Linked DNA regions of Stegostoma tigrinum. The protein of the gene in region 1 purifies or fractionates together with the protein of each later gene. This does not show direct contact. Links are inferred from orthologs where the notes say so. Each region holds a gene or a part of one and is shown on either strand. Other genes may lie near its edges.

Region 1 (7,203 bases):
GTTGCAGGGGTCGGCGGAGGGGGGTGGTGTTTGCTGAATTATTTGCAGCAGCAATCGCAGTTTTATGTGTGTTTCTCTTTATAGAAACAGAGGAAGGTGCTCGATGCAAGCGAAGAGGGAGGCAGGAAGGGGAGAGGGGGAGAGGGGGAGAGGCGAGGGGGAGGGGGGGGACGAGGGGGAGGGGGGGGACGAGGGGGAGGGGGGGGACGAGGGGGAGGGGGGGGACGAGGGGGAGGGGGGGGACGAGGGGGAGGGGGGGGACGAGGGGGAGGGGGGGGACGAGGGGGAGGGGGGGGACGAGGGGGAGGGGGGGGACGAGGGGGAGGGGGGGACGAGGGGGAGGGGGGGACGAGGGGGAGGGGGGGGACGAGGGGGAGGGGGGGGACGAGGGGGAGGGGGGGACAGGGAGGGGGGGGACGAGGGGGGGGGGAGAGGGGGGGGGAGGGGGGGAGAGGGGGGGAGAGGGGGGGGAGGGGGGGACGAGGGGGAGGGGGGGACGAGGGGGAGGGGGGGACGAGGGGGAGGGGGGGACGAGGGGGAGGGGGGGGACGAGGGGGAGGGGGGGACGAGGGGGAGGGGGGGCGGGGGGGAGGGGGGGCGGGAGGGCGGGACGACGAGGGGGAGGGGGGGGGCGGGAGGGGGAGGGGGGACGACGGGGGGGGGACGACGGGGGGGGGGGACGACGGGGGGGGGGGGGACGACGGGGGGGGGGGGGACGGGGGGGGGACGACGACGGGGGGGGGGGGACGACGACGGGGGGGGGGACGACGGGGGGGGGGGGGGGGGGGGGGACGACGGGGGGGGGGGGACGACGGGGGGGGGGGGACGACGGGGGGGGGGGGACGACGGGGGGGGGGGACGACGGGGGGGGGGGACGACGACGGGGGGGGGGGACGACGGGGGGGGGGGACGACGGGGGGGGGGGACGACGGGGGGGGGGACGACGGGGGGGGGGGACGACGGGGGGGGGGACGACGGGGGGGGGGGGACGACGGGGGGGGGGACGACGGGGGGGGGGGGACGACGGGGGGGGGACGACGGGGGGGGGACGACGGGGGGGGGGACGGGGGGGAGGGGGAAGGGGGGGAGGGGGAAGGGGGGGAGGGGGAAGGGGGGGAGGGGGAAGGGGGGGAGGGGGAAGGGGGGGAGGGGGAAGGGGGAAGGGGGGGAGGGGGAAGGGGGGGAGGGGGAAGGGGGGGAAGGGGGGGAGGGGGAAGGGGGGGAGGGGGAAGGGGGGGAGGGGGAAGGGGGGGAGGGGGAAGGGGGGGAGGGGGAAGGGGGGGAACGGGGGGAGGGGGAAGGGGGGGAAGGGGGGGAGGGGGAAGGGGGGGAAGGGGGGGAGGGGGAAGGGGGGGAGGGGGAACGGGGGGAGGGGGAAGGGGGGGAGGGGGAAGGGGGGGAGGGGGAAGGGGGGGAGGGGGAAGGGGGGGAGGGGGAAGGGGGGGAGGGGGAAGGGGGGGGAGGGGGGGGGGAGAGGGGGAAGAGGGAGGGGGGGAGAGGGGGAAGAGGGAGGGGGGGAGAGGGGGAAGAGGGAGGGGGGGAGAGGGGGAAGAGGGAGGGGGGGAGAGGGGGAAGAGGGAGGGGGGGAGAGGGGGAAGAGGGAGGGGGGGAGAGGGGGAAGAGGGAGGGGGGAGAGGGGGAAGAGGGAGGGGGGAGAGGGGGAAGAGGGAGAGGGGGAAGAGGGAGGGGGGGAGAGGGAGGGGGGAGAGGGAGGGGGGAGAGGGAGGGGGGGAGAGGGAGGGGGGAGAGGGAGGGGGGAGAGGGAGGGGGGGAGAGGGAGGGGGGGAGAGGGAGGGGGGGAGAGGGAGGGGGGGAGAGGGAGGGGGGGAGAGGGAGGGGGGGAGAGGGAGAAGGGGGAGAGGGGGAGAGGGAGAGGGGGAGAGGGGAAGAGGGAGAGGGGAGAGGGGGGGGGGGAGAGGGGGGGGGGAGAGGGGGGGGGGGGAGAGGGAGGGGGGGGGAGAGGGAGGGGGGGGAGAGGGAGGGGGGGGAGAGGGAGGGGGGGAGAGGGAGGGGGGGAGAGGGAGGGGGGGAGAGGGAGGGGGGGAGAGGGAGGGGGGGGAGAGGGAGGGGGGGGGAGGGAGGGGGGGGAGAGGGAGGGGGGGGAGGGCGAGGGGGGGGAGGGGGGGAGGGGGAGGGGGGGAGGGCGAGGGGGGGAGGGCGAGGGGGGGGGGAGGGCGAGGGGGGGGGGAGGGCGAGGGGGGGGAGGGCGAGGGGGGGGAGGGCGAGGGGGGGGTAGGGCGAGGGGGGGGAGAGGGGAGAGGGGGGGAGAGAGGGGGCGAGGGGGGGGGAGGGGGGGAGGGGAGGGGGGAGGGGGGGAGGGGGGGGCGAGGGGAGGGGGGGCGAGGGGAGGGGGGCGAGGGGAGGGGGGCGAGGGGAGGGGGGCGAGGGGAGGGGGCGAGGGGAGGGGCGGGGGGGCGAGGGGGCGAGGGGCGGGGGGGCGAGGGGAGGGCGAGGCGAGGGGAGGGGGGAGTGGGGGGCGAGGGGAGGGGGGGGCGAGGGGAGGGGGGGGAGGGGGGAGGGGGGGGGGGAGGGGGGAGGGGGGGGCGAGGGGGGAGGGGGGGGCGAGGGGAGGGGGGGGGGCGAGGGGAGGGGGGGCGAGGGGAGGGGGGGGGGCGAGGGGGTGGGGGGGGGGCGAGGGGGTGGGGGGAGGGGGGGGCGAGGGGGGTGGGGGGAGGGGGGGGCGAGGGGGTGGGGAGAATCATGCTGTGTACGGGGAGGTACCGATGCACGAAGCTCTCGGCCACAGCGAGGAATCTTTGCTATTTACCCCCCTCCCCCCTTTTAACCGAATGCACGACGCTGCCTCCCCCCTCCCCCATAATGCACGGTGCTCATGGCTGGGCGGCGCTTACCAGCCCCGTTGCCAGTCGAGGTGTCGCCGGCACCGGCTGGTTTGAAGCTTTCCATCAGCTGAGGGATCGGTCTCTCCGCCGCCATCGCTGCCGGAGTCCCCAGCTTTTCTCTTAGTTTTAAAATAAACCCTCAACCCCCCTCCTCCCTCCCTCCCTCTCTCTAAACCCCGGACTTGCCCCCTTGCCCCCCCCAGCACAGGCACACACCGAGCCAGCCCCCTGCCCTCAGCAGATCTCGCGTCAACACAGCCGAGCCGCGCGAGACATCGCCCGCCGCTTTCCAGAAAGTTCGTGGCCGCGCCGACGTCAGCGGACGGCGTTGCCGCGGCAACGGGCCGGCGCCGCGCGTGCGGCAGCGTGGACGCGCTCGGAGCTGCCCCGCGGCAGGAACGGTCCGAGCTCGGCTGGAGCTGCCGGTAGTGTCCCTGCATCGGAGACAGGAGACCCGTGTTAATGCCCCACCTGTTGCAAATGTGTGTGTAATAACGTAGCCGAGTGGTTGGATGGGAAAACACCTTCACCACAAGCAGCTGAGGTATTAATTCCCTTGACTGAGACAGTGAAACAAGTTGGAAAGTTGCTCAGCGAATCTGGGGAAATGTGTTTAAACTTTGGCAGTTTTTTTTCTAATTATAAACGATTGAAAAGCACAATATCAACTCTAATAGAATCCAGTTTGATGTTGTCTATAACTATTTGCTAATATCTGAGTATGTCTAGGAATAGAATATTTAAATTAAAGTTTGGACAAAGGGACGTGTAGCTAATTTTGCTGATGACAGAAAGTAGGTAGGAAAGTGTGTTAAGAGGACATAAACAGCCTACAAAACTAATTAGGTGGGGTAAGTGAGTGGTCTAAGGTCCGGCAAATAAGATGTAATGTGGCAAAGTGGGGGAAAAAAATAAAAAGCATATTTTCTAAATGGTAAGATTTTACAGAGCTCTGAGATGTTAAGAGACTCTGAGTATCCTGATGCATGAAGGTTAGTATGCAGGTACAGCAAGTAATTTGGAAACATAACAGAATGTAATGTTGTAATGTGAGGGTAATTGAAAGCAAGAATAGGGAGGTTATACTTCAATTTTACAAGGCATTGATGAGACTGCGTCACTAGTCATGGTACCAGCAAAAGGATGTCAATGTGATGAAAGCAGTTCAGAGGGCATTCACTAGATTAATACCGGGAATGAGGGGATTGCCTTATGAGGAAGGCTCGGCAGGCATTTAGAAGAGTCAGAAATGACTTAATAGAAACATTTAAGATCCTGAAGGAACTCGATCAGGTAGATGTGTATAGGATGTTTCCTCTTGTGGGAAAATGTAAAACTAGGGGTCATAGGTTAAAAGTAGGGGTTCATTTATTTAAGACAGAGGAACACATTTCTCTTGGAGTGTTTGGAATTCCATTCCTCAAAAGACAGTGGAGGCAGAATCTTGCAACTATTTTTAAGACAAAGGTGATAGATTCTTGATTACCAAGAAGATGAAAAATCATATGCAGGAATATAAACTTGAAGTTAAAATCACATGAATGACGATCTTATTGAAGGCTGGAGTAGACTCAAAGGGCTGAGTGGCCTGTTCTTGTTTCTTGCTTGACTGGTGGAGCACCAACTGATAGTATCTAGTAACAGCCAGACAAGGCCTGCAGTTGTACTTGCGGCCAAGCCAAATAGCTCCATGAGGATCTGCATTAAATACCAAAAAGATAATGCAATGACTATGAGGGTCGAGGATAGAGCGAATAGCCAAGGTCTTTCACCCATCTTAGGGGACCCCAAAACTAGGCAGCATAGGTTTAAGGTGAGAGCGGAAAGACTCAAAAGGGACTTGAGAGGCATTTTTTTTCATTCAGAGGATGACACAGGTATGGACTGAGCTGTAGGGGCCTTAGAATTATAACATTTAAAAGGTTTCTGCATGCGTACATGTGCTGGCAAATGGGACTTAATTTATTTAGGTTCTCTGGTGGTATGAATGAGTTGGACCGAAGTGTCTGTTTCCATGTTGTACATCACAATGACTTTATGACTCTAAACAAGCTTTGTTTGTTTATGAAAACAGGCCCGGCCAAGAGGCTAATTGTAGGCTGAAACTTGATTCAAAAAGGTTCTAACAGATGCAGCAAACCCTAGAAAGAGCATTTGTTTACACAGATAGCTGAAATTGGCTATCGACGAGATCAGTACTTGGGAATTGGTTCTGGCAAGTCTGAAAGAAAGCCTATGTTCAAGCAGATTGGCAGTTGTTTAATGGTAATTGAGGCCTCAAGAGGAGTCATTCAGAGTATCAGGGTAGAACCAGAATCAGTGTTCTGTTTAGCTCTGTTTTCTGGGAGATGGTCCAGGGATGCTGCTGAGACAGTGTGAAGATTTGAAAGCTCCCTGCCTAAAGAGTAGAAAGCTGAGTTGGAATTATTGTGGCTTTTGCCTGAGTGAACTGAGAAAATGACCCTGATCGATGTTTCAGAAAAACAGCTAAAGAGTCACATTTATGCCTGTGAGATAATGCATCATGAGTCAATTGAGTAATCTGGCCACTTTTTTTTAGCTTATTTATCCCTTAACTGTGTTTGTTATCCATTGTTCATGTGAATGGGGGCTGGAAACAAATGTTTTGGGTTTAAAGCACTAATATTGATAACCACACCATGTTTTATTTTCTCTTTTCTAATATAAATTTTGTTTTCAATAAAATGTTAAATCTTTTGTTTAAATTACAGAACTGGTGTTGAGAAAATTAATTAATTTCAAAGTTTGGAATTGCTTGTTCAAAAACCTGGTTGTGAACCAGCAGAGTGATTTAGATGGTTTAATGTTACTGTGTTGTGAATACAAAGGTGGATTCGATTCAGCTACCTATCTCTATGTCATAACACAAGCAGTAGTGCAGTTTCAGATTCCCACAACAAAATGGGAACTTATGAGGTTCTTGGAATATGTGATTTTTACCGAAAGTTTATCTCAAGTTTCAGCGCAGTTGTCAGCTTTTGAAACAGCTTTTGAAAAGCTGAAGGCCATTCAGACAAGATTAGATAGGGGAAATGCAGAAAGGGCGTTCTGATGACCAGGGAGTCCAAGACCAGAGGTTATAGTCTAAAGACAAGAGGTAGGCCATTTAGGACTGAGGTGTTTTCAAGGAGTTAGAGATTGTTTTTCAGGCTAAAGGGATCAAAGGATATGGGGAGAAGGTGGGATGAGGGCACTGAATTGGATAATCAGCAATGGCCATGTAGAATGAAGAAGTGGCATCGAAAGGCTGAATGGCCTACTTGTAGACTCAGAGCTGCACAACGTGGAAACAGACCCTTCAGTCCACTCATCCATGCCGACCAGGTATCCTAAATTAATCTAGTCCCATTTGCTAGCATTTGGTCCATATCCCTCTAAACCCTTCCTATCCATGTCCTCATCCTGATTACATTTAAATGTTGTAATTATACCAGCCTCCACCACTTTCTCTGGCAGCTCATTTCATACACAAACCACTCTCTGTAAGAAAATGTTGCCTCTTGTGTCACTTCTAAATCTTTCGCTTCTCACCTTAAACCTATGCCCTCTAGTTTTGGACTTCCCCACACTGGGGAAAAGACCTTGACTGTTCACCCTATTCATGCCCCTTGTAATTTTATAAACTGCTATAAGGTCACCTCTCAGCGTCCAATACTCCAGGGGAAGATAGCCCCAGCCTATTCAGCCTCTCCCTATAGCTCAAACCCTCCAACCCTGGCAACATCCTTGTAAATCTTTTCTGAATCCTTCCAAGTTTCACAACATCCTTCCTATACCAGGGAGACCAGAATAGCACGCAGTATTCCAAAAGTGGCTTAACCAGTGTCCTGTATAGCCACACATGACCTCCCAACCCCTATACTCAATGAATTGACCAATAAAGGCAAGCATACCAAAACCTTCAATATCCTGTTTACCTTTGAATCTCCTTTCAAGGAATGATGAACCTGCATTCCAAGGTCTGTTTGTTCAGCAACATTCCCCAGGACGTCATCATTAAGTGTATTAGTCCTGCCTTGATTTGCCTTTTCAAAACGTAACAACATATATTTATCTGAATTAAACTCCATTGGCCCATCTGATCAAGGTCCCATTGTACTCTGATGTAACCTTCTTTGTTGTTATGCTACTCTACTCTACCAATTTTTCATGTCATTGGTATTCCATGTGATCTCGCCTTGCGAACAAGTCTGCCAACAGGAACCTTGTCAAATGCCTTACTGACGTTCATATAAGTCACGTCCACTGCTCTGTCCTCATCCATCCTCTTTGTTACTTCTTCAAAAAACTCAGTCAAGTTAGTCAGATATGATTTCCCAAACATAAAACCATGTTGGCT
Region 2 (7,805 bases), on another chromosome or scaffold:
GAATGGAGGAGATATGCTGCAAATTACAGTCTTGAGAGAATTACTTTACTTGCAAGAGAAGTGCATGAACAATGAAGTCATTGTACTGAAGCATTGCTTCCAATGCCAATTCCGACTGTGATCCCATTTCAAGGCTTAAAAATGATCATCTGACTCAGTGGGCTGTAGGGGGTGGGCAAGGAGGGAGGAGGAGAAGACCAATGAGAGTGTAGATCAGTGATGTAGGTCATTGCTACCTGAACTCATGATTTTGTTCAAGGTGCCAAACCCCATTTAAGAAGCCCTGTAATAGGGGATATTATTGATCCTCATGTAGATGAGGACAGTAAAGGCAGAGTGGGAAGAGAATTTCAGAAATGTGTTTGGGAAAACTCAATGGGCTATGGAGTTTCTTCTGTATTGTACGATTCTTCAACTGTACTCTTCAGGAAATAAGTCGGGGCAAATGTCAGTTAGGGAACTTTTGGAGAACCACAATCATAGTATTAAAATGTTCAAACTGGAGCAATTAAAAATATAAACACTGAATTGGACAAGGGACAGTTTCAGTGGGTCAAGAACAGATACAAATCAGACAAACTAGGATTAATGATTTGCATGCAAAACTTCAATGTAGCAATGGGTTGTCCTTAAAGATGAGAAAAACACAGTCCAGTGGCACATTACCACAAGGGCCAACCAGTAGTACAAAAAAAGTGAGAGGCCCCAATTTACAAAAGATTGACAATCGGAAAATGACATAACAACTATCAGGTTAATAACAGAAGTGAAAATCAGGATAATTTTAGAAAGTTTAGATGTAAAGTGAGAAAAGAAGTGCAGCAAAGAGATTGAATAAAGTAAAAACTAGTAATTAACGAAAAAGAAAAGAATCCAGAAGTTTCTGATAAGTACACAAGCAGTAAAAGTGTAAGAAGAGTAAAACCTAATTAAGGATTAAAGCACGAATGCTAAGAATACTTTGAATCAGTCTTTATCAAGGAAGATGCTGTTAGTAAAGTCATAGTGAAAGAGGAGTTAAGCAGGATCGTGGATACGTACAGATGTTGACAAAGAGATGCAGTAAGAAAGGATGAAAAGGTGGTAAGTCACGAGGATGCATCCATAGATGATGGAAGTAGTGGAGAAAACTGAGGTGATATTGGCCATAATCTCAACCTCAACAAATACTGGAGTATCTCAGAGGTATACTGGATAACTGCAACTGTTGCACCCTTGCTCAAAAAGGATGTAAAAGATAAATCTAGTGACAACAGACCAGTCAGTTTAAAGTGAGTGATGGGAACGAGTTTAGAACTGATAATCCTGGGCAAAATTAACACGCACTGAACAAATGATCACATAATAGTTATGGCACAGAAGGAAGCCATTTGGCCAATCATAAGAGAGACAGAATATAAAAGCAAGGTGGTTTTGATGGCAGGTTCTTCATTAGAGGCTATCATGGGAAGTCTTGACACTGGCATGACTTTTGATAAACCACTATAAAACACTGGTTCCCTTTTAACTGGAGTATAATGGCCTATCCTCAGCATCACGTTCTGGAATAGAAGTGAAGGGTTTGGAAAAAATAATGAGAATGATTTCATGGATGAAGAAATTCAGCTGGGTGGGGGGGGGGGGCGCTGTGGAGATGGTGATGTCACGGTTAAATCGCTGGGTTAGTGATCCAGAGACCTAGGCCAGTGTGCTGGTGACATGGGCCCAAATCCCGAAGTGGCACCTGGTGGAATTTAAATTTCGGCAGTTATATTTGGAATTATAAGCTGGTCTCAGTAATGGTGACCAGAGAACTAATCAATTGTTGTAAAAACACATCTGGTTCACTAACATCCTTACCCAATCAGGCCTACATGTGCCTTGGAGTAATGTGGTCGATTCTTAACTGGCCTCTCAGAGGTCATGTCTCGCCAGAACTCTCTTCCTGAAAAGGCAGTGAAGCAGATTCCTTGACTATTTTTAAGATAGAGGTAGAGAGTTTGTTGTTCTGCAAGGAATTGAAAGGCTGTCAGTTGTAACTGTGAATGTGAATGAGGTTTCAATCAGAAAGCTATGATCTCATTAAATGGCAGAATAGGTTTGAATAGCTGAATGGCCTACTCCTGTTCTGATTCATATACTACTTCAAGCAATTCAAAGGAGGTGCAACAAACGTTGGCCTTACCAATGGTACCTGCTCATGAAGAATAATGAATAAAGACTGGAAATGCTTAGGCTGTTAAGTTGAGGAGAAATTTCACCAAGGTGTTCAAATTCAAGAGCAGTCTGGGCAGGGTAAATTGAAGAAATTGTCCCCTTTAAATAAGGGCACTTATTTAAAGTGATGGTGAGAAATATCAATGCCAGCACGACAAGATCAAAAATTTTAGGATCTGGACAGTAAGTATAGTGACAAATGAGGGTAATTTTTAAGCGGAAACCTGGTTTGGCAGCAGTTTAGGTCGCGGAGTGATGGAGAAGCTCGTTAAAACGAGTGACTCTGCTCAGGAACATTTCAGGAATCAACTTCCGAATCAGGATAAAGTAAACGGCAACAAAGACTTCACAAAATCTTCGTCCACCGGGTCTACGCATCCCCCCCGCCCCGGACCCAACCTAACCCACAAATGGAGCCTCCCCCAAGGCCAGGCCGGCTTCAGAAATCCCCAACAAAAACAGAAATCACTGAAATTCCGAAGGAGAGTCACTGGGCCCGAAACACTAACTTTGTTTCTCTCACCACAGATGCTGCCAGAAACCTGGTGAGCTCCTCGAGCTCAGTTTCTGAAGGTGGGTCGAGGCCCGAACCATCAGCCTTCCTGCTCGGCTCCTCCAGCTCTACACCTTGTTACCTCAGATTCTCCAGCAATTTGGTTTTTACTTCAGATTTCCACAACTCTTTGTATGTTTTTTTTTGGTTCAGAAATCCTCCCCAACCCCGCCGCAGACCTGACCTCCTCCAATTCTTCATTTACCTTTATCTTTATCATCATTTTTACCGGCTCTCCTTGGACCAGGAGCGACCTCCATGGCGGCCCGGCGCTCAATACCTCCCCCCACGGACACACTTCCGCCGGTCCGCCACTCAATACCTCCCCCCACGGACACACTTCCGCCGGTCCGCCACTCAATACCTCCCCCCACGGACACACTTCCGCCGGTCCGCCACTCTATGCCTCCCCCCCCCAAAAAAAACGGACACTGCTTGCAGTATGGCGCTGGATGTTATTTGGGTGACAGCAGCCGGCAGTTTATGGATCCCGTCGACGTCTTGTTGTGAAGTTTATTAAAAATAATTTTTTCTGTGGCTATTATGTTGCGTCGGAAACAGGAGAATTGATAGGTTCAAGACCCAATCCAGAGTCTTGAGCCCATAACTGATGCAGTCTTCGCAGATTTTATATAAAATCCAAAATCTGCTTTCTAAAGGCGACTTTTGACACGTTAGGAGGCCCACTGTATCGAGGTTGACAGTCCACATCCAGCACTATCAGAGCTGACACATCTTGCAGATGTGAAAGATCTCAGAGCAACTACCTCCCTTTGGCAGATGGAGTCTAATGCGTGAAAATGTGAACTCGTCCCTTTGGCAGGAAGAACAGAACAGCAGGAGAAAACCTACACTTCAAAAAGTACTTCCCATCCTAGGGAAGGTTGAGAGATTAGATAAAAGTGTTCACAAATAACGAGGGGAACTAGTCAAGGTAGATAGAGACTTGAAACTCGTACAAAGGTCGAGATCCAGAGAATACCAAGACAAGATGATCGGCAGAAAAGCAACAAAAAAGTGAAACCCCTTTTTGTGTAGAAAATGGTTAGGATTTGGATGCACTGCCTCAAGGCATTGTGGGTGCATACTCAATCATGCTTTCAGCTCATCTAACTCTCCAGTTTAGTATAGATCAGGTCATTTTTCAGTCCAAGTACTTGCAGTGATTTCTTACTGACAGGAATTGGAACTAAAATGCTGAAACCATTCTCCTGAATATTAGTGGAATTAACAGCATGCTTTTATTCAGGGCAGCCAGCATCTTTTGCACCACTGATGCTGCCTAGCCAACATTTGACAATTTTTAATTCAGTTTTCCAACATCTGCAATATTTTACTTTTGTACTAAGATGACTTACATGGCTCTTGAGTCCTGAAGGGTTCAAGTCCTGTCAAGTGTAAATCTGAGACAACACAATGTGGAACTGGAGGAACACAGCAGGTCAGGCAACATCAGAAAGTTGATGTTTTGGGTTGGAACCCCTTTAAGAGTTCTGAAGAAGGGCCCTGACCCGAAAAATCAATTTTCCTACTCCTCTGATACTACCTGACCTGCTGTGTTCCCCTAGCTTCACAATGTGTTTTCTCTGCCTTCAGCATCTGCAGTTCTTGCTATCTCCAAGTCTAAGTCTGATAGATCTTTATAAAACAAGGCAAGTACAACAGACATGCATCATTCCAATAGTTAACTGAACAGCCAGCATGTACCCAAATTTGTATTATTCTTCCAAAAGAAGTGGGAGTCACTGGCAAGGCAAGTATTAGTTGTCCATCTCTAAATGCCTTTAAACTGAATGGTCTGTTAGACCATTTCAGAGTGCAGTAAAGAATCAACCGCATTGCTGCAATTTCGAAATTTTATATGGGCCAGACCTAAAGGACATTAGCAACTCACATAGGTTATCTTTCAACACTTTATGATAGTTTCATTATTTGTATTCTGTTTCAGGTATTAGAAGGAGCAAGTATGAGAAGAAATCAGCCTCACACGAGGAATTCACACTAATGATAGCTACTGACCATACTTGCTAAAATTGTTCATGTGAACAATAGTTTCCAAAAATATCTGTGCAGGGAGAGACCAACAAATACATCAATCACATGACAGAGGAGTAACTGAGGAAAGGGAAGGATCCCAGTAGAAGTCAAATTTAGTAAAAGACTGATTGCAATCAAAATATACTGTGAATTACAACTAGTATTCACTGTCAATATCACTTTTTTTAAAATTTTGTGTTTGTTTTTAAAATACTGTGGACTGAAATGACAGTTGTTTTAAAATTAATGTTTGAAAGGGTAGTATATTTTGAAAATAAATAACTATTGTAGGCATTGTGTAAATAACTGTTGAACAAGCAGTAATTGAAGTTTGGGAGAGCAGCATGATAGTTCAGTGGTTAGCACTGCTGCCTTATAATGCGAGGGATCTGGGTTCAATTCCACCCTCAGGTGGCTGCCTTGTAGTTTGCACAATCTCTGAAGGGTTTCCTCCCACAATCCAAAGATGTGCAGGTTGAAACTAAACTGCTAAATTGCCCATAGTGTCCAGGGATTTAAGGCTAATAGGAAATGCAGGTTACAAGGATGGGGCTGGGTGCCCCTGGGTGGGATGCTCTTCAGAATGCTAGTGTGGACCTGATAGGCCAAATAGGTTGCTTACATGCAGTAGGGATTCTCTTTTATCAGATTCAATGATTTGAGGCTGAGGACAGTGCTGATGCAACTTTTGGCAACAAGAATTTGGTTAATCTATGGACTAGTAAACTGTTATTGATGACAGAGGCATTTTTGCTGCTAACAGGTAACAACTTAGAACTGGGAATAAGTTACAGAAAGAGAGAAGTGTTCAGTTTTTCCCCAGCTGGGAGGAGTAGCTTGTTATTTTCTTTGCAGTTAAAACTCCCTGTAAACGTGAAGAACATGACCTTCAATAGTTGTTTCCTACAGTGTTTCAGCAAAGCTCAGCGCAAGCTGGAAGAACAACGCCTCATTTTCCGCTTGGGGACCCTGCAGCCCTCCTAACTCAATATCGAGTTCAATAATTTCAGGGTCTAAACTCTCCCATGTCCCTGCCCCCTACCTCACACATCAGGCCCTGTTATCACATAGCCTGCCATTACACACAGCCTGTTGTTTGTCACTAACAGTCCCCATTAACAACTATTGACCCTCCTAACCAGATCATTATCAACTCCTTTATCTGTCCAACTGTTCATCTCTCTCTTTCAGCTCTATCCTATTGTTTTCTCTATACCCCACCCCGTCCCTATTTCCTGCATATACACTGACATTTTCCCAGCTCCCATCAGTTCTGAGAAAGGGTAATTAGACCCTAAACATTAACTCTGACATTTTTCTTCACAGATGCTGCCAGATATACTGAGCTTTACCAGCAACTCTGTTTTTGTTCCTGACTTACAGCGTCCGCAGCTCTTTCGGTTTTTATTCAATAGTTGTTGTAAGATGTGAGATTTAACTGAAAAGTCAAATACTTTGAGTGAACCAACCACTTTTGTGCCTCTTACTACCCAGTGGAAGCATCTAGAGAAAGATGACTGAAGCAGTGTGCTGACCAGAAGAGAAATAAGGATCACCTTAACAACAGAAGCTGGAAAAACACAGCAGGTCTGGCAGCATCTGTGGTGAGAAAGTAGAGCTAATGTTTTGGCGCCAGTGACCTTTCTTCAGAATGTTGTGCAGAAAGGGTTACTGAACCTAAAATGTTAACTCAGACTGAAGGAGCATAATCTTAAAATTTGAGCCAGGTCCTTCAGATGCAATGTCAGGAAACTCGTTTTCACATGAAGAGGAGTGAAAATCTGGATTTCTCTCCCCAAAGATCTCTTTTAAGTTCAGGAGTGACAATTAAAAATGTTGAGATTCAGAAATAGGGAACGCAGAAGCTATTGACAGAATTGAAACTAAGGATAGCAGTTTTAAACTCAATTCATTATTTAAATAAAACAGGTTTGTTAGGTCAGGATAGAAGGTCAATTTTACTTGGTGTGAGATCGGACACGGGTAGGTGAGCTGAAGTTTACAATCATAGGAGGTCAGCCAGGGTATTGCAATATCCATCTGGAGGTAACTGACCTATGGATGAAGGTTTCATGGGCTGAAGCATGGGGATGTTAAGGGACATTATAATATGGAAGTAATTCTTTGGCTGGTCAAAAAGGACACCAGGATTGTGAAGCATCCAAAATTCTTACAGGAGTCAATGGTCCTGGGGTAGCGGAGGCTGAGACGGCTCTTATCGAGGTTTATAAAATCATGAGGGGTGTGGATAGGCTGACTAACCAATGTCTTTTTCTTACGGCAGGGATTCCAAAACTAGACGGGCTGGGTTTAAGGTGAGAAGGGAAAGATTTAAAAGGGATGTAAGGGGCAACTTTAACACACAGAGGGTGGAGTGTGTTTGGAATGGATTGCCAGTGGAAAGGTTTTTTTTTATTCATTCACAGGATGAGGGTGTCATTGGCCAGGCAGCATTTATTGCTCATTCCTAATTGTCCAGAGGACAGTTAAGAGTCAGCAACGTTGCTGTGGGGCTGGAGTCACATGTAGGCCAGACCAGGTAAGGATGGCTGTTTCCTTCCCTAAAGGACATGAGTGAACCCAATGGGTTTTTCTCCCAACAATCAACATTTGGTTTCATGCTTATCATTAGATTCTTAATCCCAAATATTTATTGAATAGAAATTCCACCATCTACCATGGCAGGATTTGAACCCAGGTCCGCAGAATGTTATCTGGGTCTCTGGGTTAACATTGCAGCAATAATACCGCTAGGCCATTGCTCCCAATGGTGGAGGCTGATATCTTTTAAATATTGTAACTGTATCTGGACAGGTACATGAATAGGAAGGGCCTAAAGGGATAAGGGTCAGATGCTGGCAAATGGGACTAGATCAGTTTAGCATATTTGGTTGGTGCAGACGAGTTGGACAAAAGTCTCTCTTTCCACGCTGTATAACTCTGTGATTCGATGGCTGTAGGTTTTGGAACCAAGAGACAGAGTTCCTGAATAAGAGCCTCTGGCAGCAGAATGCACCAG

What was found.
Region 2: the proteins of zinc finger protein 346-like (region 1) and krr1 purify together in Homo sapiens (affinity purification with mass spectrometry; 3 studies listed by BioGRID and IntAct, with this or other methods). This does not show direct contact. The link is inferred for Stegostoma tigrinum from reciprocal best matches to the Homo sapiens genes ZNF346 and KRR1.

The regions. Positions count from the first base shown.
Region 1 is NC_081366.1:78,747,532-78,754,734, reverse strand, and holds the start of zinc finger protein 346-like, read right to left. Parts: upstream 3,005-7,203; 5' UTR 2,938-3,004; coding exon 2,853-2,937; intron 1-2,852.
Region 2 is NC_081371.1:47,149,970-47,157,774, forward strand, and holds the start of krr1 (KRR1 small subunit processome component homolog), read right to left. Parts: upstream 3,077-7,805; 5' UTR 3,010-3,076; coding exon 2,955-3,009; intron 1-2,954. UniProt on the Homo sapiens protein: Part of the small subunit (SSU) processome, first precursor of the small eukaryotic ribosomal subunit.